Rhinolophus ferrumequinum: one gene and its partners. Each later gene encodes a partner of the first gene's protein in a complex. Links are inferred from orthologs where the notes say so. Each region holds a gene or a part of one and is shown in the gene's direction. Other genes may lie near its edges.

Region 1 (7,452 bases):
CTTCTGAGTAACCTATTCCACATTACTTGTTGTATTGGCCACAATCAGGAGCATAGGAATCCTTACAAATGTCAGACTATATGAAATCATGTGTAATTACACTAATTTTTGATACATAAGTAAATCATATTTGATGTACAAGTCATGTCTGCAAGTCTAGATTTTCTTTTCTAAAACTAAACATACTCAGTTTCTTAAATGTGCTGCGAAAGCATAAAATAGTTTGCGTTTACAATACTGTATTATAAACTTCAAAGTTGCTAAGAGACTTGCTCTTCCCACCACAAAAAAAATAATAATTGTATGAAGTGATACAGGTATTGTTTACCATGGTAATCGTATTGCAATACATAAATGTATCAAATCAACATGTTGTACACCTTAAAGTTATGCAATTTTATATGTCGGTTACAGCTCAATAAAAACAAATTTAAAAAAATATTTTGTTTTTGTGGGGAAAAGTAGCTTTCCCCAGTGTTATTCTTTATCATTTTAAAAGATATTTTCAATTCTGATTCATTAATGCCAGAGAGCTCAATCTGTAGTTTGATTAAATCTTAATTATTCTGTAATAGCATGTTTGACAAAATTTGTTTTGCCTTCTATCAATGGGGTTTTTTTTAGAGTTGTCTGTCAATAAACTTTACAATTTTGTTCATTTGACTTGGTTGTCTACTAAAAATAATCATGCTCCGCTGAATAAATTATTTTGCTTGACTGAGCGCTCAAAGATTATACAAGCTCACAGCGACCTGACCCCAGTAAAAAGAGAGGTCTCCATTCCTAAAAACTCCTGAGAAAGTCCTAGGGGAGAGCTCTGGTTGATACACCTTTTGCCATGTGCACAAGCTAAAAACAAATACTGTGTCCTAGATGATTCATCTTGGTGCTTAACATGGTTCTGTAAGTTGTGAAGCTCATTTCCACAATCCCTACACAAATTCTGTTGCTAAACTCCAAATTGTGACTGTAATCTCCTGGGCTTGCTTAAGTTATTTGTTTCCCTTCCTGACTCCAAACTGCAGAATGTTCTTTTCTGTACTTGCTTATCATTAGGACATCTACTTCTATTAACTAACAATGGAATAGTTGCATTGTCACACACGGTACACTCTCATTTCCTTGTTTTTCTTCCTTGTGACCAATCTAAATGCCTGTAACATATAAAACTTCTGCTAACTCCCAGAAGACAGGGTAGTCTAACTTGTAGACTGACTCTTCTGCTAGCAGCAAATAAAGGCTTTTTCTTTGTTGCTCCACTCTCGTTGACTTTATTTTAGGACTCTTGACAGTTTTATAAAATGAGACAGTAAAAATTCTAAAGACTTTTAAGGTAGAAAATAAAAACAAGGAAAAATTCAACAATTTGGTATAAATCAACTGATAATGACATTTCAATTTGCCATCCTTTGGTAAACCCACCACTAACACATACAAATAATAATGCTGTCCCCACATACTTGAGAGGGGATAAGTAAGTGTTAGCCAGATTGAAGAACTTAAAGTACAATAGTCTGGAGAGGAGAGTGAGCTTGAAGAGTTCCAGGAGCTCAAATATTCTAATACTATTGAGGAGAAAAGGGATTAAAGTAGGCAGAGCTCAAAGTAGGAAGAGACTTGAGGACACTAGGGAGGAGTACTTTGTGCTCAATACTAGGGATACTGCAGTGAACAATACACAAGGTCCCCTTCTTCACACAACATGCATTCTGATGGGGGAGACATTCACTTATTTTACAAATATTTCTTGAGGGCACATTGTGTGCAAGACACTATTCTAGATGCTGGGTATGCAGAAAGTGAACAGAACAGATGCAAATCCCTGCCTTCAGAGAGTTTCCATTCTCATGTCAGTCAATAAATAAGTAAACAAATAACAATTAAATACAAATAAGGAAATCAATGTGGTAATAAATAGAGCAGCACTGTCTAATCGAGCTTCCTTTGGTTATGGAATTGTTCTATATCTGCAGTGTCCAAAAAGGTAGCTATAGCCACATATGAGTATTGAGCACTTGAAATGTGGTTATTATCATTGAGGAAATGAATTTTTAATTTTGCTTAATTTTAATTTAAACAGCCTCACTTAATAATTGTTTTTAATCCAGGGGCTCATTAATATTATGATGAGTTTTGTTTTTTTAAAACTCTCTCTTAGAACTGCTGGTTCTTCTCTTGTTTCTAAGGAAGTTTCCAATAACTACCTCTCCATTCATGTCCAAAAGGAGCATAATACCACGAAGTCCTGATTAGATCAGCTTACATCCCAAGTCCACTGTGGACAAGTAATGGAATGTGATTATTGATCTAAAGGTAGAGTCAGCTTCCTTAGGAACATACAAATCACCAGATTACTAGAAACTGTTGGAAAAAGAAGGGGATAGATGTTGAAAAGGCAGCACATATTCATTACAGTCTTGCTACTCAAATTGTGGTTCATGGACTCAGGGCATCTTCACCAACTGAAGGCTTGTTAGTGTTAACAAAATTCGACAGAGTAAATCTGAAGATTTAATTGGCTTTATTAAGTGATTTATGAATTGAGCAGCATACCATCTAGCAACTAGAAGGGTATTCTGAGGGGTTGTACAAATTGGAAGCTTTTAGTAGGAAGCAGAAAAGGGCAAGAGGGCTATTACTGAAAGGAAAGAAGCCAGGACATCTTTTCAAGAAAGAGAAGGGGAAGGGTTTCCATCATGTAGATCTCCTCTTCTTTCCAACTGGTGCATAGAGAGGGCCTAGGTGTCAGATGCCCTTCCTGGTGCTTGATCAGAAAATTCCAAACTGGTTAATTAAGATTTTGGTTCTGGGAGAGATGGAAACTGCAATTTCAGGTACGAAATCTAGGTTTGGTATCAGAGGCTATTAGCACGAGTGACGCCTTTTTGGGCGTGTGGCTTTTTTTTCTTTAACATTAGAAATGCAGGAGTTCAGAGCCCACACCAACTAAATCAGAATTTTCATTCTGAAGTTTGCTCCAGGTGAGTCCTATGCACATTAAAGTTTGATGAGCATTGCCTTAATGAAGTCCAAGATTTCCGATGATCAGGGATGAAGTCCAGACTGATGATACAAATTAAAGCCATGGTTTTGGAGATCATCTAAGCTAAAGAAGAAAGTATCCAAAAGGAGAAAGCCCCTGAGTACCATAGTATGTAATGGCTCAGTAGAGGATGAGACAGCTAGAAAGAGGAGTAGCTAGTAGGATAGGAATAAAACCAGATGTATTTGCCATCCTGGAAGCAAGAGAGGAAAGAGAGTGTTTCAAAAGGGGAATGTTTGCGTTGAGTGCTGCTGAGATGTTTAAGATGAGGATAGAAGTTTATCTTGGAGGTTTCTGATGACTGTTAGAATAGCAATTTCAGTGTAGTTTGAAGAGTGAATTGGAGGTCATAAAAACAAGCATAGACAGCTCATTCAAGTTTTTCTGTAAAAGAAATCTGGCAGTAGCTGGAGCTGCATCAGAGGTGACCTTTTGCTTTGTTTTGTTTTTCAAATTTTTTTGTGGTGGGGAATATTGGGGAACAGTGTGTTTTTCCAGGACCCATTAGCTCCATGTCAAGTCGTTTTCGATCTAGTTGTGGGGGGCGCAGCTCAGCTCCAAGTCAAATCATTGTTTTCAATCTAGTTGTGGAGGGCACAGCTCACTGGCTCATGAGGGAACTGAATGGGCGACCTTGGTGTTATGAGCACTGCACTCTAACCATTGGGAAAAACGGCCGCCCCAGAGAGTTTTGTTTTTAAAGTAAATTTGTATGCTGATGAAAAAAAAAGTCCAGTAGAGACGGAGAAACTGATGATTCAAGTTAGAAGGGAATAACTGAAGGTATGAAATTTTTAAAAAAATGAGCGAGGGGATCCATACTACAGTGAAAAGGAATTTGCCTTTGAAAGAAGCAATACTTCTACTTTTGCGACAGGAATAAAGCAGAAGAATGGCTTCTGTTTCTCCAAGAAGTAGGAAACATTAGCAGAGAGTGATTTGGCAGAGGGACTATAAAAGTTTTGAGAGGAATAAAGAAAGTATGAAATAATTTGTGAGCTTATGAGAAGCAGAACACTATCTCTGGGCAATATAGGGTACCCTTTTGAGGTTTGCTACCAGAATTTAAAGTGAAAATAATTAGCTAAATTGTGTGATTTTCTCCATGTACATTAAGTAGTGCTGAGGTTCTTGGTTTTGGAGCAGAATTAGCATAATCTTTTGGGCTTCTCTCAGACCTTTCCTTCGCACACGGGTATATTTGGTGCTGCATAACACTAGATGCCGTGCCAAAGTGTCCACTAATTGAATTTAATATCCTCAAATCTCCCTCTAATAGGAAATTTCCTCCTAAACCAGACCTAAACGCCCTCAGCAGTCGCAAGGCACACCTCCAGCCGCTAGGGGCCGCAATGGCGCTCCTCGCGGGCGGAAGGGAGTGCGACCCTGCGCGGCCTCAGCGTTTCCGCCGCGCGTTCGCAGAGCTCTGCGCGCCCTTTACGTCGGAGATCCAGGAGTAGGCGTTTCCGGCCATTCATACTCCAGTCCGTGGGGCCTTGGTTGTTGGGGTTTGTGCACTCTTCGGACCGAGAGCGTGACGGCGCCGCTAGGATGAAGCTCGTGAGGTGAGGCGGTGACCAAGTGGAATGAGGGCTCTGACGGGACGGTTTGGGCCGGGAGCAGGAGACGGCTGCCCCAGTTGCAGGAAGCGCGAAAGCCACGTGCGCGCGCGGCCTGCTAACGGCCTCCGGCGCTCGCCGCTCCCGCCCTAGGTTGGCGGCGCCGGCGCGCGGGCCTGCTCTTCAGAAAGGGTCGTTCCGGGAACCTGTGTGTCTTCCAAGAGGTGGATGTAAAGGCCGAGCCGTTTCTTCCCATCCAATGTCTCAAGTGCCTTAAAGATGCAGGGGCAGGCGTACAAGGTCTTGCTTTCGGTTACCAACCGATTTTCATTTCCAGTAGAACTCGTGCTCTAGTTTAGGTTACTTTTCGGTCCCATCTTCAGTTCTCAGGAACCGGCAAATGTAACTAGGTCCACGGTCCCTGAGAACGTGGGAGACATAAAGAAAATTTATTTCCCTGTGTAAGTAGTTTAATGCGCTTTTAAAAAGAGTACTTAGAAGCTGCAAAGGTTTATCTGGAAAATAAACCCATTTCCGAAGTGTTTTAAATCAGGGATGGACTTCTGACTTAATGTTACTTTTTTAGAGTATTTTTGGATGTTCTCTAAATTTAGGATTATTCGACCTACATTTCCCTTTAAAGTAGGCCTTGCATTTGGGGGGGGGGGGAAATCTCCCAACTTGGGGCAGAATCACTTTCTGTATTTGTAGCTGATTGCACGGATGATCGATATGTCTTCCGTTTTATATCTTTCTGCATTTAATTTCTAGTATGTTTGAAATAACATAAATCCTTCAGGGTGGAGTTTGTAGAGAAAGCATTTAAAGTGAACTTTTTGTTCGTTTTAATTTGAACTGTAACTGGATAATAACGTCTCAAAATTTAAAGTATATTTTCACAATTTCTCAATATCTGGCAGTCTGAATTTAGTTAGTGTGCTACTCTTTGGGATCAGTTTCTCTCATTTAAAGATATTCTGTGCTGTGACAATTTTCCTGTTAATTTCAATGGCTGTATTGAATCCTTTTCTGTGTCTTAGAATAAACAAAATTTCTTCTTACTGGAGAAGGCATTTTGAACCAAGAAAATGGCTGTTTGTCTAACCGGATGGCATTTTCAGTTGACTTTTTTATTTCTGTACCTAAGTTGGTGGAACTGTCATCCTAATCAAAAACCTGGGAGTTGTCTTGACTTCTTCCTCTCTTGATAATCCTGATGTCTGATAAATTGCCAGGTTTGAACATTTTTATCTACTTAATGGAAGTATCTCTCACTATCCAATTCTCTTTGATTTTTAAATTTAAATAGTGTGAATTTGGATGCTGAATGATACCATGTTTGAATATTTGAATAATATCTGAATATCTAAGTTTCAGTAAGTAAAAAGAATTCAGATAGTGCAGGATTCATCAGAAAATGATTCCAATCTACTTGGTTTCTAGGCTCACATTATTGTGTCTGTTTCTCCTGCTCATGATACCCTCCCTGCCATTCCAGTTGCCACCACTGAGCTGTTTAAGCTCCCTTTTTTCACCCATGTTTTTTATTAACCTCTTGAGTTAAATATCTCTTACAATGATATTTAGTGTACAGTTCCCAATTTTGAAAAATTTATATACCTGTGTGATCCAAACCCTATCAAGATATGGAACATTACCTTCCCCCACCCCCCCCCCCCATTTTCTTTTGGGTAATTATTTAGGAGTGGAGTTGCTGGATCATAGCACAGGTATACATTTAGTTTCATAAGAAACTGCCAAATCATTTTCCAAAGTGGTTGTAGCATTTTACACTCCCTCAAATGAATGGTATATTAGATATATTAGAGTTACACTTGCTCCACACCCTCATCAGCATTTGTTGTCAGTTTAAGTTTAGCCATTGCAGTGCTTGTATAGTAGTCTTCTTTTGACTTTAATTTGCATTCTCCTAATGACTAGTGATGTTGAATACCTTTTCACCTGCTTATTGGCCATTTGTATATCTTTGTGAAGAGTTTAATTATGGTTGTATTTTTCTTTTTATTTTAGTTGTAGGAATTCTTTATGTATTATGCATACTAGTCTTTTGTCAGATAGAATTTCTCCTCGTTTGTGGTGTGCTTTTTCATTTCCTTAATGTCTTTGGTGAGCATACGTTTATTTTGAAGAAGTCTTAATTTACCAGCTTTTTCTTTTATAGTTATTGCTCTCTGTGCACTGTCAAAGAAACTTGTGCCTACCCTCAAACGATGAAGTTATTCTCCAATGTTTTCCTCTAAAAGCTTTATAATTTTACTTTGATTTTTAGATTTATGATCTGTCTTCAATTAATTTTGGTAAGTGGTGTGAGTTAGGGGGTCCAGGTTCATTTTTTTCTAGATGGATTTCCAGTCATTCCGTATTATCGTGGAACATAAATCCCTATTATGGATTTCATTTGTTGGAAAGGCTTTCCTTTGCCCCATCAGACTGCTTTGGCAGTCCCATGAGCACCTTTGTAGAAAATTGACTGTATAAATGTGAGTCTATTTCTATTTCTAGGTTCTATTCGGTTTCATTGATCCGTTTGTTGTTCCTATGTCTTGATTACTGTAACTTTAACCTCTATAGTGCTGTAGCCATCTGATTTGTCTTCCAATGTAAATGTGATCCTGGCAATCTTTATTGCTGAAAACCCTTCAGTAACTCTCCTAGAGGAAATTTTTAACAGAGCTTAGGCTTTCCATGAAAGGAATCTGCCTAACTCTTCATTTTCTTAGACTTAATATTCCATCGGTTGTACCTATAATTTTTCTGTACATTGTGCTGTTTCTTAACTACCGTATCTTTGCTCTTCACTCTTTGCTGCATATTTCCAACTTTTCAGGC
Region 2 (7,142 bases), on another chromosome or scaffold:
AGACCGCCATGCACTGGCTGGATGCACCAAGTCTGGTGTGGGGAGGGCAGTTTTCCCCTGTGAAGCCTGCCAGGTAAAGCCTTTGTAATTGCATAAAGTCAGGCCTGAAAAATCACACATAAGTTTTTAACCAGGAGCTTACTGCTCAGAATTATCCCCATTTCCTGACAGCAAAGCTCCACTGTCCCCAAATCACCAAACAAAGCCCAAATCCTATAATAAATATGTTAGTTCTAACACCCTCTTACTGAGACATCTTCCAGTTTCAGTAATCATGTGACTAAGGAGTGTTCTGGTGGAAAGAGGATGCTCCATAAGTATTAACTATATACATACAGCTCCATTTCTCAGAACCCTGTCCAGCACCATCCATCCCCTACTTTCTATGCATCAACCATACTGACCTTTTTCCAATTTTTCCAACAGAACCTACTTCCTCCAGCAATTAAGGCCTTGAACAAACTCTCCTCTACCTGCTGAGACTGAATATACAAATGGGCAATGGTCAGACCATAAGTGGAAAACTAGAACTCCGACCCACAGTCTGCAGCAACCATCCCAGGAAATCAAACCAGTGTTCTACAGTAACTAGCCTGGGAAACCAGCCTGCAATAAGTCAAACTTACAGGAAGTCAGAGTGGTATCTCCAGCAACAATCCAAGAAGCCAAACAATAACCCCTGTAATAATTGTCCCAAAATAGTCAGGATTTGATTAATAATTGACAGATTTCCTAATTTTTTTCCCTGTTTCCAATTTAGGACCAACCAAAGAAAACCAAATACACACCCTTAACCAATTTCATAGGGTGTCCCACTTCTAAGTAGAATAGGGGTTCAGAGCATGCCACCCCAAAATATGCCACTTTGACATATTATTTTAAGTTAAAGGTACTTGGAAAACAGCAGATGCAAGATGGGTGCTTGGACCTTCCTTTTTCTTCCTGAAAGCAGGAGATAATACTCCCATGTGAAAGGTACACCTCCCTATACCAGAAGGAAGGAAAACATTCTTACCATTAGAAATGGAGATTCAAGGCCAAGATAAAGCTATACAAACAAATCTTATTCAACTAACCCTTATCTTCTTAGTTACTTTTCCAGAATTATAATAACTTCCCTAGCACAACCCCCTTTGTCATGTTACATGTTCACAATTTACTATTCTTTGTCCAACCTAGTATGTAAGCTTTGGGCCCTAACTTCTTTGGGCCTGGATTTTTCTTGTGAAGGCTCCCATGTACATGTTAAAATTACTGAATAGAATTTGTGTGCTTTTCTAATGTTAATCTGTCTTATATCAGTTTAATTCTTATGCCCCGCCAGAAGCCCTAAGAGGATAGAGGAAAAGTATTTTTACCTCCCCTATAGTAGCCCACCTCCAACTTCCCCAAGCCAAGAGCCTCCAACCAGCGCATACACAGTCTTCCCCTTTTTCCAGTATAAAGCTTTCCTACTCCTCTTCCTGACTTTGAGTCTTTGCCAAAATTCAAGTAGCAGTGGCTGACTCCCTTTCTATAGCAAGCTCTGAATAAATAGCCTTTGCTTGTTCTTATTCCTTAGTCTTCATTTATTTCCCTACCACAAGACTCCTCCATACCCCATCCCCTCAAGATTTTCCTTAATAGTTCTTATCACAGTTAACATTTAAAATTCATTTGTATCATTGTTTAACATCTCTCTGTCCACTAGACTGTAAGCACTAGGAGAGAAGAAGATCATTGTAATTCCCAATGCCTACCATAGTGCCTGGCACATAAGAGAAAACTGATAAATATTAATTGGATGACTGAATTAAATTTTCATGGTATAAAAAGGCAAGTGAAATTTTAGACTGTGGCCAAAGTAAAAAGAACTGAGAAAGTACGCTTAGAAGAAATTCTAGTGCGGTAGATATTGAATAGGAAGGGAAAGAATAAAATGGATGGCCTAAGCTGTGTCTCTCACTTGGAATGCTTCTTAAAATGTCAATTTCAGAGCCCCACATCCAATCAACAGAATCAGACCTCTCTGGAGGAGAGAGTTATAGAACCCAGGAGTCTGTATTGTAAATAATTTCTTCCAGATAATTCTTATATACACTAAAATTTGAGAATAACTGGGTTGCTTAAGGGGATATAAAACACAGCGACAAATTTGCACTTACCTGTGTAAGGATGACTTAACAGATGCCACCATCATCAATAAACAGTGTTGATTGTTCTCATAACCCTCATATAACTCCTACAACCAACCACCAATGTAAGAAATACTGAAATACAAAAAAATCTTTCCGTTGTAAACTGAGAAGTAACTGGAAATCTTTGAAAACGGCACCAGAAATAGTTCAGAATCTTAGGAATGGTTCTTCTTAGGGAGAGCTTAGATGAAATAGTTATTATTTTAAAAGTTCAGCTTTCCAAAAATTAAGCATTTTTTTCAGAATAACTTCATCAACCAAATATAGCTACTCCTCCGCTGTCCCATATCTTACTGAAACTATCAAAAATATTTAATTCAATTTCCAACTTATAACCATATTAAAATTTGTTCCAAAACTCGTTATTCATTCTTTTAAGTCAGATTAGTTTTGAAGTAACAAAAAGCAAAGCTTATAAATTTTTAATTTACTTTCCTCTCTCCTGAATGAATTCATGCCTGTGTATTTAAAATTTTAGAATCATTTCAGAATCATTCATTTATTACTTACGTCTTTTGTAAAATAGTGTATTATTATTTCCCAGAACAACCTTTGTTCATTCTGCTATTCCTCTCTTTTCTTCCTTCATCCATGTGTAGTTCTGTCACGTACTTACCAGTCGTATATATGCAGCCCAGTGTTAAGCATTGTTCCACTGGTCGTTGGTCTACTTGGTAATTACCTGTTCTTTATTTCCAGAAAAATGGGTGAGGGGAAGTGAATTGCTAATAAGTTAGCTTCCCCAAAAAAAAATATTTATAAGAAAACCCAGAAATAAAGTCGCTGCTCATTTTTTCTTATTTTGTTCTTGATTATTACCAAAAAGTTTGGGGATGGGAGTATTTCTCCATAATCCTTCCCTCTAAGTCTGTTTCTTCCAAAATCAGTAACATTTTTAACCAAATAACTTCTACTTTGACTGCTGTGAGGCAATGTCTTTCCATGTCTCCCAATTGCTTAGTAACCATTCATACACACTAAGTCTTTCGTTTTTAACATAAGGACTAGCCTCACTATTTATCTTCAATTAAGTAAGTTACATTCTGGTTTCTAAATCAATTGCTAAAGGCAGTGCTTTAAAAAGAAAAAAAAAGCAACGCCTTAGTCATAAATATAAACGTTAGAAATAAGTCAATTGTATTCACTCAGAGCTTGTTTAGAAAGATTGAGATAGAATATTTTCATTATTTCTTGCAATTTATGACCCAGTTAAAGTTAAACTAGTTCTGCTTTAAACAAAGCAGAACGTGTAAAATGGAGACAATAGTGTAAAATGGAGACAATAGTATTCGCCTCACAAGATTGGCCCTAAGATTAATAATGGTGATTTCTGGGTATTGGCATTAGCTTTATCCTTTGCACTACTTATATTTCAGCAAAGAGATCTTTCTGAGGGGGTAAAAAAAGCGATGGCTACTCTAGGAGTGATATTCATTTCAGACAAATATAAAGTGATCTTTGAAATAGCCAAGCACAAGAAATTCCTCTGGAAAATCGGTTTTTCGTTTACTCGGCGTCAGAAAAATCTGGGTTGGAACTGGCTCTTCCCCTTTGGGAAAAAGTCACGGTTGTAGTACTTAACCACTCTTTCGGTCGATTTTTCTCCCTTACGAAACCGGTATGATACCTACTTCAAGAGGTTGTAAAACTTAAGTGAGGAAATGTGACCTGTCTGCCAGGGTTTAAGAATTGAGAGATCAATAAAAGATAATTACAGTAATGTTGCTCATTAATTAAAAAAAAAATTTAAGAATCCCTCGCTACTAGGGATACCTAAAGGCTAGTAAGCCCCAGTCTTTACCCTACCTAGCCTTGGAAGAGAGAACAGGACAAAAGAGGGAACACGCAGAAACATCTCAGAACCACTCCCGCAAGGAACTAAATTCGCAGTCTTCCTTACACCACCGGAGCCTTAACCTTGAGACAATGAGCAGGTTTGCTCATGCGCATTAACACTCCCTAAGCCTCGCCGCTTGCTCCACTCTGCGCCAAAGATGCCTACTTGTGCGCCTGCGCTGTGACCTAAACGTGGGACTGGCTGGATTGGAAACTATGGCGTGGGTACCAGCGGAGTCTGCAGTGGAAGAGTTGATGCCCCGGCTGTTGCCAGTGGATCCCTGCGACTTGACAGAAAGTTTCGATCCCTCCGTACCCCCGAGGACGCCTCAGGAATACTTGAAGCGGGTCCAGTGAGTGATTTGGCTTGTGCGGGTGGGCTGTTCGTCCTTCCTGCTCCAGAGCACAGCGCCCGGTGCTTTGCGGGACCCCTAGGTTTGCTAAAGCCCCGCCTCTGTTCCGGTCCCCAACCTCCTGCAAGTTCGGATCGGAGCAAGATCACTTGTTAGCATTTTTAGGTGGACGAGTTTCAGTGAACTTAATTATATTAAACTTGATTATACATGGCAAGATGTGTGCTCTTAGATTTCCTTGCTTTCAATATAATTTCAGAAATACATTAATTAGTACCTCAATTGCAATTCTGAACTTTTTGTCTGATATCATAATAAACTTTAGAAATGGATAGCTTGTTTAACTGCAGATGAGCAAAACTCAATAGTAATTACATTTCTTGCATTTATTATTTATAGGATCGAAGCAGCTCAATGTCCAGATGTCGTGGTTGCGCAAATTGACCCAAAGAAGTTGAAAAGGAAGCAAAGTGTGAATATTTCCGTGAGTTTTATTACCCGTCAGGTGACTTTTTTACCACTACAAATGAAAAAAACAAAGCTGTTCCTATAGTATCCAACAGTATCAATTACGATGTAGGTCAAATTTGACTGCCCCTACGAAGTTAGACATTTGTTTGTATTACTTTTTCCCCTTCAAGGACAGTTGACATTTACTGCCGCCAAAGAGGCTTTAAGTAACCCTGGCATTCATGGAGATTTGCTCTTCATACTTTCAGGACATGATCCAATCCTAAAGAAGTCTTTAAATAGGTTACTTATGCTGTCCTTTATTTTGAAGTAACCTTTTTCCAGTTGTCTTCATAATTATTGTTGGACTGTTTAATCTTAGTGCAGTTTGCATGGTCTAATTTTCATTATGTTTTGTTTTTTAAGACTTAGAAACCCAAATATCTTACACTTTTTTTAGCTACTTGCACACTGTAAACATTTTCATTCATTTATCCAGCACATTTTTTACTAAGCAAGTAGGTTGTGCCAGGCACTAGAAATATAACCAGGGATGATGAAACAGAAAAGGTCCCTACCCTTGTGGAGTTTACATTCTCCTGAGGAAGACAGGGTAAACCAGCAAACAAGTGAAATAATTACATATTGTGACTATTGATATGAAGAAAATTAACATATAATGATCAATAAATAACAAGAAGAATTACTTTTCTTTTTTTTCAGGTAGAACTACTTTAGATTGTCACAGAAGGTCTCTCCCAGGAGGCAGTATTTAATTTAAAGTCAAAGGAAAGCAGCAGTTTTAAATTGTGATTATTCCTTTTCGTTTTATGTTCTAAGTAATTCCCTTATCAGATGTTTATAATTAGGAAATTTTAATATTTCATATAATTCCTTTTTAGAAGTTTTTAGTTGGTGGGAGATGATGTCTTATATACCTGGCTTTAAAAAGTGACCTCACAAAGTTTTATTTCAAGGCAGTGTGTGATCAGTTGTGAACTGTATGCTGTTTTTGGAAAAAGAAGTAGACATTTTAAAGTCAGATATCTTAAATTATTTGAGTACATTCTGACTATACCAAAATTTTTTATCTGGGATATAGCTCTTTTTTTTTATAGCAAACTGTTTTTGCTGTTATAGAAAGGTAGGGCTAGATTGTGTCTTCAAGACTCATATCATTTAGATTTCTTAGAAACTGCAACTGTAAACCATTCCAGATTGCTGTTATTAAAGTGACTCTATAAGGATCTTTTCCTAACATTTTAAACTCACACAGAAATAGTAAAATGAAATTCCTGCTCTTTTGCATGAGCAAGAAGTACTTTATTTTTCTTGTACAGTCTTAATCATTTACTTTCTTGTTCACTGTTCATATTGATTTTACTTGGCAGGGGCATGAGACTCTAGTTATAACACTAACATTGATGGTAAAAATTATGAACTGATCTCTAGCTTTCAGGATGCCAACCTGCTCCTGAAGGATATTCCCCCACACTTCAGTGGCAACAGCAGCAAGTGGCACAGTTTTCAGTTGTTCGACAGGTAAGTGTACCTTAATCTTTTAATCAAATTAAACACTACCCCTCCCTCCCTCAGATTTATTTCTGTTCTTAGATTTTAGTTGGGAAAATGAGGTTCATGATTCTGAAGAATAAAGAAAAGAATATTTAAGAATCAATTACCAAATTATTATTATAATGACTAGATGTAATAGTTTGAAACATATCTTCCCAGTTGTAGAATTGTTAGAATGTTGTGCAGCACTTTATTTCTTTTCAGTTATCCATTCTCTGAAGATCACTGTCTACCTCTTCTTCCTTTAGAGTGTGAACAGACATAGAAATCACTGGAAATCACAGCAGTTGGATAGTAACGTGACCATGGTATGTAAGTTTCTCTGTTGAAGTTATACAGTGTATACCTATTTGAAATTGTCCATATTTACTTCCAGTCTTTAAAAATTACTTACCTAGTCCATATAATTTTCATTCCCTCCCATCTACCATTAATAGTAACAATTTCATTATATTAGTAGCCTGAAAAGTATAGAATCAGCAATGCAAGCTTTTATTTTTATGACACTTTTAATCCACAACATCTTCAGAGACTTTGGATGGGTAATTGTTAGGCCCCTACAAGTTTTTAAGTTTCTTCTAGACAGTTGTTTTTTAGGAAATAAACACATTTTCAGTATTTACAAAAAGATTGAATAAAGGCTCATTGGATTTTCCTGGTGAAAGAATGGTGCCAATACCAGTGACTTTTTACTGAAGCCTGTCATGCATACCGGAAAGTAGTATTTCCTACATTTTATCAGCTTAGATAT
Region 3 (7,230 bases), on another chromosome or scaffold:
CATTTAGGAGATGGTTCCATTGTGCATCAGGGTTGAGGCTCACTGGTAAGGGTTAAGGAAATCATGTCGAACCAGAAACGGAGGTTTACAGTCAGAATCTGGAGGAATACCAACATGGAAGGGTAAATCGAGGAAGAAAGTCAGCAAAGGAGACCCTGTGTGGGCCAAGAGACTCAGTCTTTTCATCTTTGGTGCCCTACTTCTCTATTGTAAGACTCTAGTGTTGAATCCACATGACTTCTGGGCATGACTGTTTTCAACAGAACCTGAATGAGCGACCTCTCCTGCTTCCGGGAGTCGGCAGCCAGTCCCTTGCCTCCCATCTCCCTGCCACAAAAACCTAGACAAACTGATCTATACACATATGATTTCTCTAGTAGCCTACAAATCATTCTCGATATTAAACAGCAGGAGGCTGGGAGAGGATCCCATAGGTACAGTGGTTCCCATGTCTATTCACATTTGTAATTTACCCAAAGCTGAAATCTTTTCAAGTTAATGTTCAATCTGTTGTTATCTTGGGCTTTGTGATGTAACATACATAGCAGCAATAAATAAGATTTCCCGCTGGGCAGAAGTAGCTGGTGATGTCTCTTATTATTTCCTTCTTCCTGTGTCCCCCTTCTTCCAATTACAATAGCCGTGGCTCAATCTCCTTGTCTCCAATTGTGTTTGTGACTTACTTTTTACATGTAATGAAAGGACAGGGTAAGCAGGAATGGGGCCATGTAAACAATGCCAGGAATGGAGGACAGTAGCGGCAGGTGCCTCCAAACCTCCTCAGGATCAAGTGATGGTGGGTGGAGAGGGAGAGACAAATTGCAGGTTGGAGCCAGAGCTCTCAGGAGCCTATGAGTTATTAGGTAGATTGGAGAATAAGCCCCTTGTCTTCTTGGCTCACTCAAAACAAAAAGGGGAGTTTGAGTTCGGTGTGTTATAAATCCAACAAGAGAAGCTGCATTGCAAGAAATTGGGTGGGCAGGAAAAAAACACATTGAACTCAGTTTTATGGACATTTAAAGGTTAATAAAACATGGTCTCTGCCTTCGAGGATTTTCCGTCTAATGAGGGAGATGTTTGTAAAACTAGCTAATGGAATGGCAGAATGAAATAATTGCTAAATAGGTGTTTAATAAAATATTTTCTCTAAAGAAGATGAGAAAGCTTTGTGGAGAGGTGGCATTGGGGTTTGGCATCAAAAAGATGAGGAAAATTTCAGTCAGAAGGTTGGCAGCCAGTGGTTGAAGGTGGCATTCCAGGCTGAGGAAGCAGCGTGAGCAGACGTGTTAGAGTGTGTTCAGGGAGTAGTCAGCCAAGTAGTGTGGTGGAGCAGGTGGCACATGGAAAAATTGTGGGTGAGGCTGTTATCTTAACGTCCCCATTTGTGTCACCGGTGTGATAAGGGCCTCTTCTTTCCTGTACTAAGTAGGCCCAGAGATTTCTCAGATCTGCCGACTTCAGCTGTATCAGTTTTTAAACACAATAGGGATGGAACTATATTCTCTACTAAGGACCATATCAGAATCACTCCTAGTGACTTTTTTTTTTTTTTTTTTGCTACTGTTAAGAGTCACCCCATGTGAAAATTCTGAAATGACCCGTTGCTTGAGAATCACTGCCATAGGGAACCACTGTTCTTATGAGACTGTCATATCCCTCAGGTGTGCTGTGGTAGAACAAAGGTTGAGAACATGATCCTGAGTGTAAACTCCCCAAGAGCAAGGACTATGTAGATGATTGCTTTTTTATTCCCCACAGATTCCTATATGGGGCCTCCATAAGGAGACAGTTAATACTATATTGCCACCATTTCACACCATAATTTTTACAGACCCCAAGTGTTTGGTCAGTTGACTTCTGGCCATCTGTGAAATTGGAAAAGAATAATAATGAGCCCCACCTTCTAACTTCATTGCCGTTCTTTGTACAGAATCCTCAGCATGGATGGGCTCATTGAGGACATCAAGCGACGACGGTACTACGAGAAGCCTTGCCGCCGGCGACAGAGGGAAAGCTATGAAACCTGCCGGCGCATCTACAACATGGAAATGACTCGCAAGATCAACTTTCTGATGCGAAAGAATCGGGCGGATCCATGGCAGGGCTGCTGAGGCCTGTGGGTAGTGGGCCCAGTATGAAAACCCCTGTCCAATGGTGTCTCCACCTCTTTTCTTTCTCCAACCCCATTTTATCTTTCTTGCAATAAGCTCAATCACGGATATATAAGAAGGCCTGCATATATAGAAGCAGTCCCACTAGTCAGTTATTAAGTGAAAGAGAAACTGTGCCAAAAAATAGTCTTGGAGTAGAATGGTGATTGCCACGAGCTGAGTGGGGGTGGAGGGGAATGAGGAATTACTATTTAATGGGTACAGCATGAGTTTGGCAAGATGGAAAAGTTCTGGAGATGGGTGGTGGTGATAGTTGCATAACAATGTGAATGTACTTAATGCCACTGAATTGTACACTTTAAATGATTAAAATGGTAAGTTTTATGTATATTTTACTATGATTGTTTTTAAATAGTCTAGGAAAGCTGAGGACATTTTCTAAAATGTTGTAGAATATATCTACCATTTCTTACCCAATTTCTATGAAACACAAAGCAAGATCTTATCATTGGGAAAGCATGTTACTCTTTACTTGCACTGCCCTCAACTGTTAAATAAAAGGAGAGGAAGCATGTGTATATCTGGAATAAATTCTTCAGAAACTCCCATCAACCAGACTAGAGTGCTGGAATCCTTGTCCAAAGGAATCCTTAAGACAAATCTAACATTCACTCCTGTTTTCTGTTTTTCCTAAAGGAGGCTAATGGAGGGATGGTGGAGAAGAAATAAAGCGGTAGATGGATGGTAGAAAAGAGGAAATAGAGTGTTAAGAGACCGGAGGACACAGAGCCTGAAATACCTAGAGCAGCAGTTCTGAGATTGTGCTCTTAGGTCAAAGTGTGCTCTTCAGATCTGCAGTATGAAGATCACCTGAGAAATTGTTTGAAATGCAAATTCTGGGCCCCTATTTTAGACTATGTGAATTGGAAATTGGGGTTGGAGCCCAGTAATCTATTTTCACAAACCCTGCAAGTGATTCTGATGCTTGCTGAAGTCTGAGGATCACTGCCCTATAATAGTACTTAAAAGAGATTCCAGGCTGAGGTCCCCAGCGCCAACCCTACCTCTCAACAGGCACTCCTGGGTCTGTGATTCTTGACAGCTGGGGGCATCTGACTGTGGGAGGAACCAGCTGCTCTGCTTCCTTTCCTGCTGTGTGCTTCCTCTGGCCTTGGTCCCCTGAAAGCCATGCTGCTGATATAAGGAGTGTTGATGCCAACCCCCAGAGGAGAACGGAAGAGGGTAGGCGGAAGCAGCTAGCCCACCTCTCCTCACCCAGGCTGCAGCCCTCAGCATAATGTTTAAAAAGGAAGTAAACTGAGCAGACAGCCTGGCCCCCTACCTCTCCAAATTGCTAGTGTTCAAACATTGCCCCCTTGTGGTGTATATATTGTTACCTATCAGGTAGCTTTATTGAACTCAGAAGCAGCTGTTTTAAACGCATTTACCTTCGGTCACTTGTGGTCCTCACAGCAGCCCTCTGAGGTGGATTTTTTTTATAGGTGAGGTAACAGGGCTTAAGCAATTTGCCTAATGTATAAATAATGGGTGGGAGAACTGGAATACAGATCTAAGCAATCCGGCTTTCAAGCCCCTGCTCTTAACCATGAAGCAGTATTGATTCTCAGAAGAGGATGCCTGGTGCATACTAGTAGGCAGTCAATAAATATTCAATTAACGAATGAGACAAGAGGAGGGTGGGGGAGAGTTGCTATCTTCAGAGTCCTCCCATACACGTCTATTTTCTGCGTCGGTCTCTGGCACCACTGTTAATTTACTGAAGGAGAAAGGTTAGGGAGACGTGGCTAATGTGATCTCGACTCTTACTGAGGATTGACTTTATAACACACGAAAGGCCACGTTTAGCCTGAACTCATAAGCCCCGCTTTTAGTTCTAGCGTAACTTCAGCGCACTGACTCGCCACACTAGGAATATTGCAAGCAGCCCGATTTCTGTTTCAGGCAACATTAACCTTGCAGTAATCCAGTTAGGAGATTTAGCTGGGGAAAAGGAAGCCGTGGGGAGCTTGCACGGGGCAACTTTAGGGCTCCGCCACGCATGCGCCCCGCCGCCAGGAAAGTGGCTACTACGGCTGCGCGCGTCGGTGGCCCGGCCCTCCCCGTCACGTGTGGAGGACCGTGGCGTGGCGGCGGCAGTGGCGGTAACGACGGCAGGCCGTAGGGCGGTCGGAGGGTTTCCGGTTCCGGTGTAACGTTCGGGCTCCGTCTCAGGGGCTGAAGTTTGTGAGGTGAGTAGTGGCCCCGGGCCCAAAGAGGGTGGCCTCGGGTCGGAGCGCCTGGGGCCGGGGCTCAGTCCAAGAGGGGGACCGAGGCTGGAAGGTTCAGCGGGAAGGCAGCTGAGAGGAGAACAAGGTTCTGCGGGAGAAGGGGTTGGAATGAGATTGTTGAGAGGAAAAGGGCGGGGGCGGGAAGGGGACGGGGTGCGGAGACTAGCTCTGAGACGAGGAGTTTGGGGAGAACAAGGTGGGCTCAGGGCCGGCCGGGGAGAGCAGAGAGAGAAGAATGGAGGTTTGGGGGTGGGGTGGGGGTGGGTCAGTCGGGGTGTTGCAAAGAAGAGCACGGAAATCCTTCAGAAGATTGGAGTCTGCACCCTCCCCATTCAGAGATCCTTCTGCCTGCCTCCCCACGCCATAACACACACCCGCCCCACGCAGTTACTGTCCAACATTTGATTAGTGACAAAGCTAGTTACTGTTGGAAACTTTCATTTTGGCCCACGGGCTGTTTAGTTTGCACATTCTCTTAGGAAGGATTGGGTTGCACTTGAATACATTTGTTAGTTTAGTGTTGGGCACACATTTAATCTAATAGACCGGTTCCTCGTGTATCGCTTTGGATTTTCAAATTGCTTACACTTTCTAGCCTGTGATTCAATTCTAGTGGAACATAAGCCCCGTTAAGACGAAGATTCTTGTCTGTTTTGTTCACTGGTGTACGTATTCTCAGCACCCACTATGCTGCTTGACACTTAGTAGTTACTCAATAAATATTCGTTGAATGAATTAAGTACCAAGATGAGTAAACTGAGGCTCAGAGGAATTACTTGCCCAAACGCTGGTAAATGGTAAAGCTCCGTGTTGCAACTCTTCAGTGTGAGCTCTTTATTGACTGTGGTATCTGAATATGCTGCTTTTAAGCAATGCACATTTAATATATAGGAGATTGAGAGGTTATACTGCTGTCTCATGATGGGTGAATAGAACCACCTAGAAGTATTCACATAATGTGTCACTGAGGCAGGAAATCTATCACTCCTAATTTCATGACTTCAATCTACTAGTTTCATACGGTTATACCCAAATTTAATAACACCGTTTAGCAACAGGTCTTATAAGGGACGTCCCTGCCAAGAATGTAGAAGTTAATCAGACCGTGTCTTTTAGGAGAAAAGATGCCTTAAAAACGGCCTGAGAGCTTGACTCCTACATCAGACCCTGATATGTGGCCCTGCTGGGAGGAGGTTATCTGGGAAATTGAATTCAGTGCGGTTTATTGACTTTTAGGCACTATGGTGAAAATAGGGGAAATACAATTTTCTCTATGCTCATGGGTTTTGAAATTTAGGTAGGAGATCAAAATGTAAATGTGACTATTGTTTAAGAATTGTACTAACTTGTGTTAAATGACAAATTAAGGATTTGTTATAGAATCTTGTATGATAGTGTAAAAAGTAGAAAAATAAAGGTGAAAAGGCAGAACATCCAAAATGGGGGTATTCTTTTCTGAGCTGGGGGATTACCTTACCCAAGTCAACTGACAAAGACCCTGTAGAACATGAGAGAAAATTGTCTGGGTACAGAATCCCCACTAGCTTGCATATGACTACAGAGAAATAGAACATTCTTAAGGATACGAGCTTTGATACAGGATGACTGACCTGAATAAGCCTTCCTCTATCTGCATCCCTTAAAAGTAAGGAAACCTGTAGGTTACGGCTGAGTTAAGGAATGCCTGCCTAGAATTAAGAATAGAAAAGCTGCCTCTGGCTGGGCTTTTTCAGTCTTGTTTCCATATTATACTCATATGTTTGCCAGTCCTGTTGATACAACAGGATCAAAAAAGGAGCCAGAACTCATTGCTCAGACTAGGCCATTCCCGGGTTTTATCTGTTTATTCCACAAGTTTCATTGACTCACTGATAGTGAGTCAGGCTTAGAAATCTAATGGGGGAGGCCGGCCCAGTGGCTCAGGTGGTTGGAGCGCTGTGCTCTTAACGCCGGGTTTGCCGGTTCGATTCCCACATGGGCCAGCAAGCTTCACCCTCTACAGCTAAGATTGTGAACAACAGCTTTCCCTGGAGCTGGGCTGGAGCTGGGCTGCTGTGAGCTGCTGGAGGTTGGCATGAGCTGCCGTGGGCTTCTGTGTGCTGCCACGGGCTACTGTGTGCCGCCATTAGCAGCCGGCAGCCAATACAAGCTGCCATGTGCTACTGTGGGCTGCTGTATGCTGTCGCGGGCTACCATGTGCTGCCATGAGTGGCCAGCGCTAGTGACCGGCAGCCAGCGCGAGCTGCCGTGGGCTACCATGTGCTGTCATGAGCGGCCGGTGGTCAGCGTGAGTGGCTGGAAGACATCATGAGAGGCCAGCAGCTGGCAAGAGCTGCTGTGAGCTGCTGTGAGCGGCCAACTGACAACTGGCGACTGACTGCCTCAGCCGGGGGGAGCGCAAGGCTCATAACAGCAGCATGGGCCAGGGAGCTGTGTCCTACACAACTAGACTGAGAAACAACGGCTTGAATCGGAGTGTGGCGGGGACAAGGGAGAAGAAGAGGGGGGAATCAAATGGAATGTATTTCTGCTTTGAAGTATAGGTTTTAGGGAAAGTATTTGACTTGAAATGAAGAGGAGCAGCTCGACTAAAGATTGAGAATAGAGGTGGGGAAGACATTTGTAATGTAATAAGCATTGACTGGAATCACTTTAGTCTTTTCCTGTCCTCTAACTTAATTCTTTCCTGGTTTCTTTTTAGGTGCAGTACTAAATCCCATTTGACTTACCTTCCTTTTCCTGAAGAATGGCACTATCTAAGAGGGAGCTGGATGAGCTGAAACCATGGATAGAGAAGACAGTGAAAAGGGTGCTGGGTTTCTCAGAGCCCA
Region 4 (7,746 bases), on another chromosome or scaffold:
TTTGGCCTTTGTTTTAGTGCCTTAGAGAGAGGCTATGAAGGGAGAGGGAAGGCTGGATAACCCCTTAGCGGACAGGTGGCTGCCCCATCATGTCCTGCCGGCATCCCAAGCTGGAGCCTGCCTCTACCATCACCCTTACCAATGCTCCTTAGCCGATGGAACCAGCGGGCTGTGCGCGGGAAGTGACTGTAGAAGGTCGGATGGGGGGCTCCCAGGAGATCAAGAAGTATAAAGAGCTCCTAGAGAGAGAGGCCAGGACTGGAGAGGCCAGGTGGGATGCTGCCAACCTTGCCTTACCCCCTCCCTCCCTTGCCAGAACCCAGAGGGACCCTTGTCTTACAATAGCCTGGATCCTGGTGGGACCGGGACTGTGGGGTGCAGACTCCATGAGCTGGGCCAGGTGCCGGGAGCCATAGAGAGAGTCCTTGGGTCCCCACTCCTTCAGCGCCTCTTCACCATCCAAGAAGAGCAGCTGCAGGGTCACCGGGGCCGCCTGTGGAAGCCGGTGGTCAGGGCCAGCTCAGTGCCAGCCCTCGACACGACCCACCTCCATTTCCTGCCCGCCTGCACAGCTGAATGGGACAAACTAAGTCTCCTCATTCACAGAGCGTGGTGGCCTAGAGTACAGACTCTGAGCCAGCTGCCTGGGTTTAAATCCTGGCTCAGCCACTTCCTGGCCGAGCAGTCACAGGTAAGTCACTAACTTCTTGAAGTATCAGTTTCCTCATGTAGAAATGGGGTTAGTGGGCCAGCCGGTGGCTCAGGTGGTTGGAGCTACGTTGCTGGTTGATTCCCACATGGGCCAGTGAGCTGCGCCCTCTACAGCTAAGATTGTGAACAACTCTCCCTTGAGCTGGGCTGCTGTGAGCAGCCGGTGGCCAGCGTGAGTGGCCGGCAGCCAGCAATAGCTGCCATGAGCTGCTGTGAGCGGCCGACCGACAACTGGCTGGCGATTGACTGCCTCAGCAAGGGGAGCACAAAGCTCATAATACCAGCATGGGCCACGGAGCTGTGTCCTACACAACTACTAGACTGAGAACGCTTGAACCGGAATGGGCAAGGGGAGGCAGAAGAAGGGGGAAAAAAGCGGAAGAAGGGGGGGGAAGAAGTGGGGTTAGTAACAGTTCTATTCATAGGGTAGGATTTGAATCCAAGTCCCAAAACTGCCTGGCATATACTAAATAAGGGTGAAGCTCTGATTATTGGTTATTCTTCAAGCTTGTTTAGAAAAAGAGATCCACAAACGAATAATTATACAAATAGTGAAATGCAGTTGGGACAAATGCTTGCAATAACTATAGGGTCCTGAAAGAACACAGGAAGGGGGTGGGGGATAACCTGGCCTGGGGAGAACGTCTGGTCTCTTAGAAAGGGATGTTTGCACTGAGGATGAGTGGCAGCTGGCCTGGCAAAAGGGAGCAGAGGGAAGAGTGTTCCCAGGCAAGGATGGAGTGTGGACCAGAGCTGGGGCCAGAGAGGTTTGAGAAGAGGCCTGAGGAGTCAGCAAGGGTCAGGGAGCTTGGGCTTTGGGACACTGGGGTTTAAACCATGGAAGAAAGGGCCTGAGCAGGGAAGGCGCGTGAGGAGACTTGTGTTTTCATTCATTCACTCCATACATTTTTATTGACATTATACTTTAAGGCAGGCAATATTCTGGACTCAGGGAATAGAGAAGGAAACAAAAGCAGCCAAGTCTCGGCCTAGATGGAACTTATTCTAGCTGGGGAGACACAGATACATCAACATAAAACACCATAAATCATGGGATAGTGACAGGGAGCTATTTTAGGGTGGTTGGGAAGGCCTCTTTGAGGTGACGCTGGAGTGGACACCTGAATGAAGGATGGGAGCCAGCTAGGAAGATATCTGAGGAAAGCACATTCTAGGCAAACAGCAAGTGCAAATGCCCTGAGGTGGGAGTGTATCTTGTGGGTTTGAGGTATACGGAGGTGGTGGGTGGCTAGAGTGGACTAGAGAGGTAACAGGACACACATCATGGGTCCATGCATGAGGTAGGAGCCATGGGAGGGTTTACGGCAGAAGAGGGACATGATCTGACATTCAGGAGGTGGAAAGATCCTGTGGCTTTGTGTATAGAATGGAGGCAAGAAGACACGACCAGGCAAGGGAGAGTGGTGGCTTCAACCAAGGTCATGGCAGCCCCTGCCCTCCATCCCCCCCTATCCCTGCTCTCACCTGATCTTTGGCCTTGCTCAGCTCCTGGTCGAGGGCCTGGGCCAGCTCCAGTAGCAGGGCGCAAGGCACAGCTGAATCCGTGGCCCCCACAAAGGGGGCTGACCCAGATGGAAAGAGCTTTGAGTCATAATGGCAGGCAAGGGTGAGATGACGGGCAGCTCCTGGGTCCAGTGTGGCCACCACGTTGGCAAAGTCCAGTGGCCCCAGGGGCGTTGAGGCCGTGAAGGGGTCCAGTTCCACATGCCAGCCTGCCGTCAGGGCCCGCAAAGTGGCCTCCAGGAACTAGTGGCAAGAGAGAGGTGGGAGGGTGGGTGGGAACTGGGGAGGAGGTCGGGAGAAGGGCCACGTGACCTGAGCCATGCAGAGCAGTCTGGCTGATTCACAAGTCCCACTTTGGTTTAAATCATTCCTTTGACACTTCTGCTGAGTACCTACCAAGTGCCAGGTGTGGAGCGACCCTGCTTCTTGAGGCCAAGACTAATCACAGCTCACTCTTCAGTGTACCAAGCCCTGTTCTAGGAACCCTATGGGATAGGGACCGTCAATGGCTCAGTTTACCAATGAGGAAACTGACAGAGAGCTTAAGAAACTACTCCAAGGTCACACTGCAAGTGGCTGAAGTGGGTTTTGAACTCAAGCACTATTAAAATGACTCTTGATGCTGTCTGGGAGGTAATATAAGGGATGTTTCAGCACCAGCTCCGGAGCCAACCTGTCTGGGTTGAAACCCTAGGTACAACATTTACTAGCTGTGGGACTTGGGCAAAATGCCCAACTGCTCTGGGCCTCAGTTTCCCAATCTGCATAATGAATATCACATAGGTACCCACCTCATAAAACTGTTACTTGTGCTTAGCACATAGTAAGCTTTCAGTGAGGGCAGTACAGCCTAGTGGTTCTAGAGTCAGATTCGCTCCACTCAAAACTTAGTGCTTTGGGATCTTGTGCGGAAAGCCCATTTCCCAGCGGTCTGCGGAACCAGGTGTGGCCCTTTACCTTTCTGACTTGGAGATTGCCTGGGCTGCCCGGGGTCCGCACAACCAGCAGCGGGCGCAGATAAGTGTTCCAGAGACGCTGTGGGTCAAGTTGCCCCACCACCCTCCGCATTCGGGCTTCGGGGAGGCTTCCGATCAACGGGCCCTTGGGGGGCGGGGAATTGGGAAGAGAAGAGCAGAGCGTGAGAACAAACCCCATTCCGACGCTACCCCGGACGCCGTCGCCCTTAAGAAGCCGGGAATCGCAGCCTCCAGCATCGGAGGTTTCTAGGATAAATCCTACACGCAGGAAAAGTCCCTCCGAGCCCATCTGGTCCAGCCCACCCCAATCCTGAAAAAATCGAGGGGAAATCGAGGCGCAGCGAAAGGAAGGGACTCTTCCAAATAGTTGACTTAGGATTAGAACCCAGAACTCCCAGTTTTACTACTCCAGACCCTTCCTCTTAATGGGGAGCCACTATTACAGAACAAAGTCTGAAGCCTCATTCTATTGACAAGGGGCATGCGTCTTAATGACCGAAACCGCGGCACCTGCGGCTAGGGCTACACGATAAAGCCACGTCAACCTGAGACGTTAGGAAAGGGGAGACGGGTAATGAGCTCCCCCGCGGTGGCCGCGCCCCCGCCAGGCCTTACCCGCAGCTCCCGGCCCGTCGGCAGCTCTTCAGTTCGGCGGTGCCAGCCGCTCCAGATGGTGTAGAACGCGGAGGCCACGGCCAGAGCCAGCAGCAGCAGGGGCAACAGCTGCACCCGCGGTAGCAGGCGGCGACTGGGCGGTAAGGATGGCTCCAAGAGGCCGCGTTCCCCGAGCCGTAGCCGGGACCGCCCGCGGCCCCCGGGACGCATGGCAGCTTCGCCCTGAAACCGGTCCCCGACCGCGGATCGAATTTAGGCCCAGCCAAGTCCCACCCCATAGAATCACCGGACCAATGAATAACAAGAGCGGCTGCACCATTCCACCCTTCCTCAAGCAGCGAAGCCAATGGGGACTTTCGTTCTGAGGGCCCGCCTTACTGTCTCCCTGGGGCTTTTGGCGTTGGTTCCACTGAGGGTTGCACAACCCAAAAGGGAGCAAGAAGGAGTAGGCTCCGCCTCAGCGTTGGAGGGGAAGCCTATGAGAAGCGTTTGACAATGGAAAACATTCGACCTAACGGACCCAGGTCCACGCCCCTCCCGGATGTAGGCAAATGATTGGTTTTGTGGAGTCGGAAAGATCAATAGACGCGTAAATGAACCGTCTCTGCAGGAAATAGGCGGAGTCTATCCCTGAAGTGAAGAGAGGGATTGGCTTCTCGGAGACCGCGCCCCCGAAGGGAGGGCCGGCGGGCATTTGGAAATGGCGTGTCCTTTCTCGCAACCTGTGCTGTTCCACAACAAAATGATTTGAGTCGGGCCCTCCGTCTCTCTTTTTCTCTCCATTGTTGTGAACATCTGTCCTGTATAGTCCTGAATGGCCTTGAACCACTAAGCAAGGCTTTTACCTTAGCGCTGCGCAAGGCTGGCGGGGGTTGCTATGGCAATAACAGGCCACGCCCCCACAGCTAGTTGGGTTTGCGCAGGCGCCTACGGAAGTGGGCCACAGGAAGCGGAAGTCCCGCCTCTCTCGCGTTTTCTCTTCGGAAGCAGAGGAAGCGCGGAGGAAACCAGAGTGATCCGAAAGAGCAGACGCTACCACCATGTGAGGCCGGGCGAGGCTTAAGCGGCGGGCGTAGGGTGGAAGGTGCAAATTTGGTCACTGACCGGTGGAAGGGGGTGGGGAGGACGGAGGGCTGAGGCAGAGATTTTTAGGGGTAAAGTGGCGTACTTTTCTTGTGTTGAGTTTGAGAACGGGCGTGGGGCCTTTGACCCAAGATCGGTTCGGGAGAGGGAACAGCTTTATCAGATAATGGGCTGGGGGCTTTCCAAGTAATTTTAAGGGGGAACGATTTTACGAAAAAGAACTTGCGAGAGGGGAGTGCGGACTTTAAGGAACAACGATTAGAGGTGAGGGACTATCCGGATCATTTGAGCTGGAGACGGTTGGCCTTTCGACCTAATTCGCAACTTTACGGATAACGAGTCACAGGAATGATTTTACTTTATCCATTAAGTCATGATTTATTAAGTGCTCATGTATCAGGCACTGCTTTAGATATATGAGATATATCAGTGAATATCCCTCTCCAAGAAAAGTCCCCACCTGCAGCTTATGGGGTGGGAAGAGGTAGATAATTAAGGTCATGATAATAAACAGGTAAAGTATATGGTGTGTTAGGTGACCGGGGCTATGAATAAACAAACAGTAGCGCAGGGTAAAAACAATGGGGAGTGCCGATTTTGAGAGACAGTAACTGATAACTATCACAGAAGGACACATTGAGAAGGCAATACTGGAGTAAAGAAAGTGAGAGCTCGAACCACAAAGATAACTGGGGAGGCATCCAGGCAGAGGGAAAAGCCAGTGCAGAGGCCCAAGATAAAAGTTTGCCTAATACCTTAAAGGGCCACCTAGAAGGCCCCTGTGACTGGAACTGAGATTGAGAGACGTAGGGTATGGTAAAAACTTTGGATTTTACTTTTTTTAAAAAAATTTTTATTGGGAAACTGTGTTTTTCCAGGACCCATTAGCTCCAAGTCAAGTCATTTTCAGTCTAGTTGTGCAGGGCGCAGCTCAGTCGCCCATATGGGAATCGAACCGGTGACCCTGGTTAGAGCACTGTGTTCTAACCAACTGAGCCAACCGGCCGCCCGGATTTTACTTTTTTACACTGAGAAGGGAGCCACAGGATGATTTTGAAGAGTAAGATGATGTGACTTAGATCTTGGCAAAACCCCAGGACTGATCTGTGGAGAACACACTGTTGGGGAGCATGTGTGGGGTGCAGGCAGGGAGATCAGTAAGACACTAGGAGAAAGATGATGGAGATTCAGGTCGTGGTAAGAAATGGTCAGATTCTGGATATATTTGAGAGGCAGATGGCAGGATTTGCTGTCAGGTTGTAGGATGTGCAAGACAAAAAAGAGTCAAGTTAACATCAAAGTTTTTGCTCAAAGAACTGGAAAGATCGAGTTGCCATTGATGGAAATGAGGGAGGCTGTGGATAGAGTAAGTTGAGGTGGGTGGGTGTTGTGGATCACAACCTAGAACGTGCAAGATTGGAAATCACCATCCAAATGGGTATGCCCGCGAGGACGGAGCAGGAGGGTGGGTGTGTTGGGGAAAGGTTGGAGAGACACTGAGTGCCATGACCGTGACCATGCTCCAGCGCCAGGCCCTCTCACCTATGGGTTCCATACTTGCCCACTCAGGAGCCTCCTCAACAAGCCCAAGAGTGAGATGACCCCGGAGGAGCTGCAGAAGCGGGAGGAGGAGGAGTTTAACACGGGCCCACTCTCCGTGCTCACGCAGTCGGTCAAGAACAACACCCAGGTGCTCATCAACTGTCGCAACAACAAGAAGCTCCTGGGCCGTGTGAAGGCCTTTGACAGGTGAGTGCCTGGGTCTGTTCTGTTCAGGCTGGAGAAGCGGTCCCAGCTCCCGTCCGAGGCGCCTAAAGACCAGGTTTCTCAGAAGCCAGGGGAGTGAACGTCTTAAAACCCGCTGCCCCTCCAGCTGTGCAGTACAGTGGTTATGGGCATATACTTACGAGCCAGTCCTCCTGGGTTTGTGTCCCAACTCTGTTCTTAGCAGCCACATGACCTTCGGCAAGTGACTGTCTCGTCCATCCAGTGGCAGTAATCGTGGTGTTTGCAAAGATTCAGTGGCTTAATACATGGGAAGTGTAGTCAGTCACTAGAAGTACAGCATCTGGCACACAGTATGCTGTTACCTAGTTATTACATAATACGAGTGTGCACCCATGCCAGGTACTGTTTTAGGCTCTGGAAAGACCGCAATGACTAAAATACACATGGTTTCTGTACTCAGGGAGCTTATGGTATAGATAGGGAAGCCGACAGCAAATAATGTGTCAAAAAGACAAAAGATGAGAACTCATATGAAGAAAAGTGAAGCCAGGTAAGGGTATGGAGTACGGGGCAGGGGGTACTGTCTTTGATGGGTAATCAGAGCAGCCTCCTGGGAAGAGGCAGCAGTGAACAGACCTGAATAAGAGAAAGGCGTAAGCAAGGGTCTAAGTGTTTCAGCCAGAGGGAGCGACTAGGAGTTTTTCTGTCCGGGCTTCCGTTTCCTTATAATACCCCTCAGAGAACAGTTGTAAGGACTGAATGATACTGTGTATGATGAAGAGCAAAGGGCTCTGTACCTAATACATGACAAATGCTCAGTAAACATAGAAGCTGCGTGGTTAGCATCTGGGAAGCGCTTTCTTCACTGTAGTGTGCTGAGGCTTGATTCTGGAATGTTCTGGCCACTAGCTATTATGTGACCATGGACAAGTCTTTCCCTCTGAGCCTCAGTTTCCTTTTGAGTAAAAGGAGAAGAACAACAGGAAGCACAAGGAGGCAGATAGATCTGGATTTGAACACAGGCTCTGTCACCTCCAAAGTTTATGGTCTGGGCTGAGTTCCCATCATCCCACTGTGTTTAGTTCCTGCCCTAGACGTGGGAAATAAC

Evidence for each region.
Region 2: SNRPD1 (region 1) and GEMIN2 share a complex: the UniProt entries of both Homo sapiens proteins name them as parts of the SMN-Sm complex. The link is inferred for Rhinolophus ferrumequinum from reciprocal best matches to the Homo sapiens genes SNRPD1 and GEMIN2.
Region 3: SNRPD1 (region 1) and PRPF3 share a complex: the UniProt entries of both Homo sapiens proteins name them as parts of the U4/U6-U5 tri-snRNP complex. The link is inferred for Rhinolophus ferrumequinum from reciprocal best matches to the Homo sapiens genes SNRPD1 and PRPF3.
Region 4: SNRPD1 (region 1) and SNRPD2 share a complex: the UniProt entries of both Homo sapiens proteins name them as parts of the SMN-Sm complex. The link is inferred for Rhinolophus ferrumequinum from reciprocal best matches to the Homo sapiens genes SNRPD1 and SNRPD2.

The regions. Positions count from the first base shown.
Region 1 is NC_046302.1:17,462,082-17,469,533, forward strand, and holds the start of SNRPD1 (small nuclear ribonucleoprotein Sm D1), read left to right. Parts: upstream 1-4,450; 5' UTR 4,451-4,594; coding exon 4,595-4,608; intron 4,609-7,452. UniProt on the Homo sapiens protein: Plays a role in pre-mRNA splicing as a core component of the spliceosomal U1, U2, U4 and U5 small nuclear ribonucleoproteins (snRNPs), the building blocks of the spliceosome.
Region 2 is NC_046289.1:86,468,020-86,475,161, forward strand, and holds the start of GEMIN2 (gem-associated protein 2), read left to right. Parts: upstream 1-4,137; 5' UTR 4,138-4,229; coding exon 4,230-4,366; intron 4,367-4,765; coding exon 4,766-4,871; intron 4,872-6,268; coding exon 6,269-6,358; intron 6,359-6,639; coding exon 6,640-6,699; intron 6,700-7,142. UniProt on the Homo sapiens protein: The SMN complex catalyzes the assembly of small nuclear ribonucleoproteins (snRNPs), the building blocks of the spliceosome, and thereby plays an important role in the splicing of cellular pre-mRNAs.
Region 3 is NC_046305.1:50,663,171-50,670,400, forward strand, and holds the start of PRPF3 (U4/U6 small nuclear ribonucleoprotein Prp3), read left to right. Parts: upstream 1-4,227; 5' UTR 4,228-4,360; intron 4,361-4,404; exon of another isoform or gene 4,405-4,484; intron 4,485-7,100; 5' UTR 7,101-7,145; coding exon 7,146-7,230. Other genes in the region: MRPS21 (28S ribosomal protein S21, mitochondrial), read left to right, coding at 1,931-2,111. UniProt on the Homo sapiens protein: Plays a role in pre-mRNA splicing as component of the U4/U6-U5 tri-snRNP complex that is involved in spliceosome assembly, and as component of the precatalytic spliceosome (spliceosome B complex).
Region 4 is NC_046298.1:41,996,808-42,004,553, reverse strand, and holds the start of SNRPD2 (small nuclear ribonucleoprotein Sm D2), read left to right. Parts: upstream 1-4,731; 5' UTR 4,732-4,867; coding exon 4,868-4,869; intron 4,870-6,479; coding exon 6,480-6,659; intron 6,660-7,746. Other genes in the region: QPCTL (glutaminyl-peptide cyclotransferase-like protein), read right to left, coding at 140-239, 341-493, 2,197-2,478, 3,193-3,336, 3,828-4,037. UniProt on the Homo sapiens protein: Plays a role in pre-mRNA splicing as a core component of the spliceosomal U1, U2, U4 and U5 small nuclear ribonucleoproteins (snRNPs), the building blocks of the spliceosome.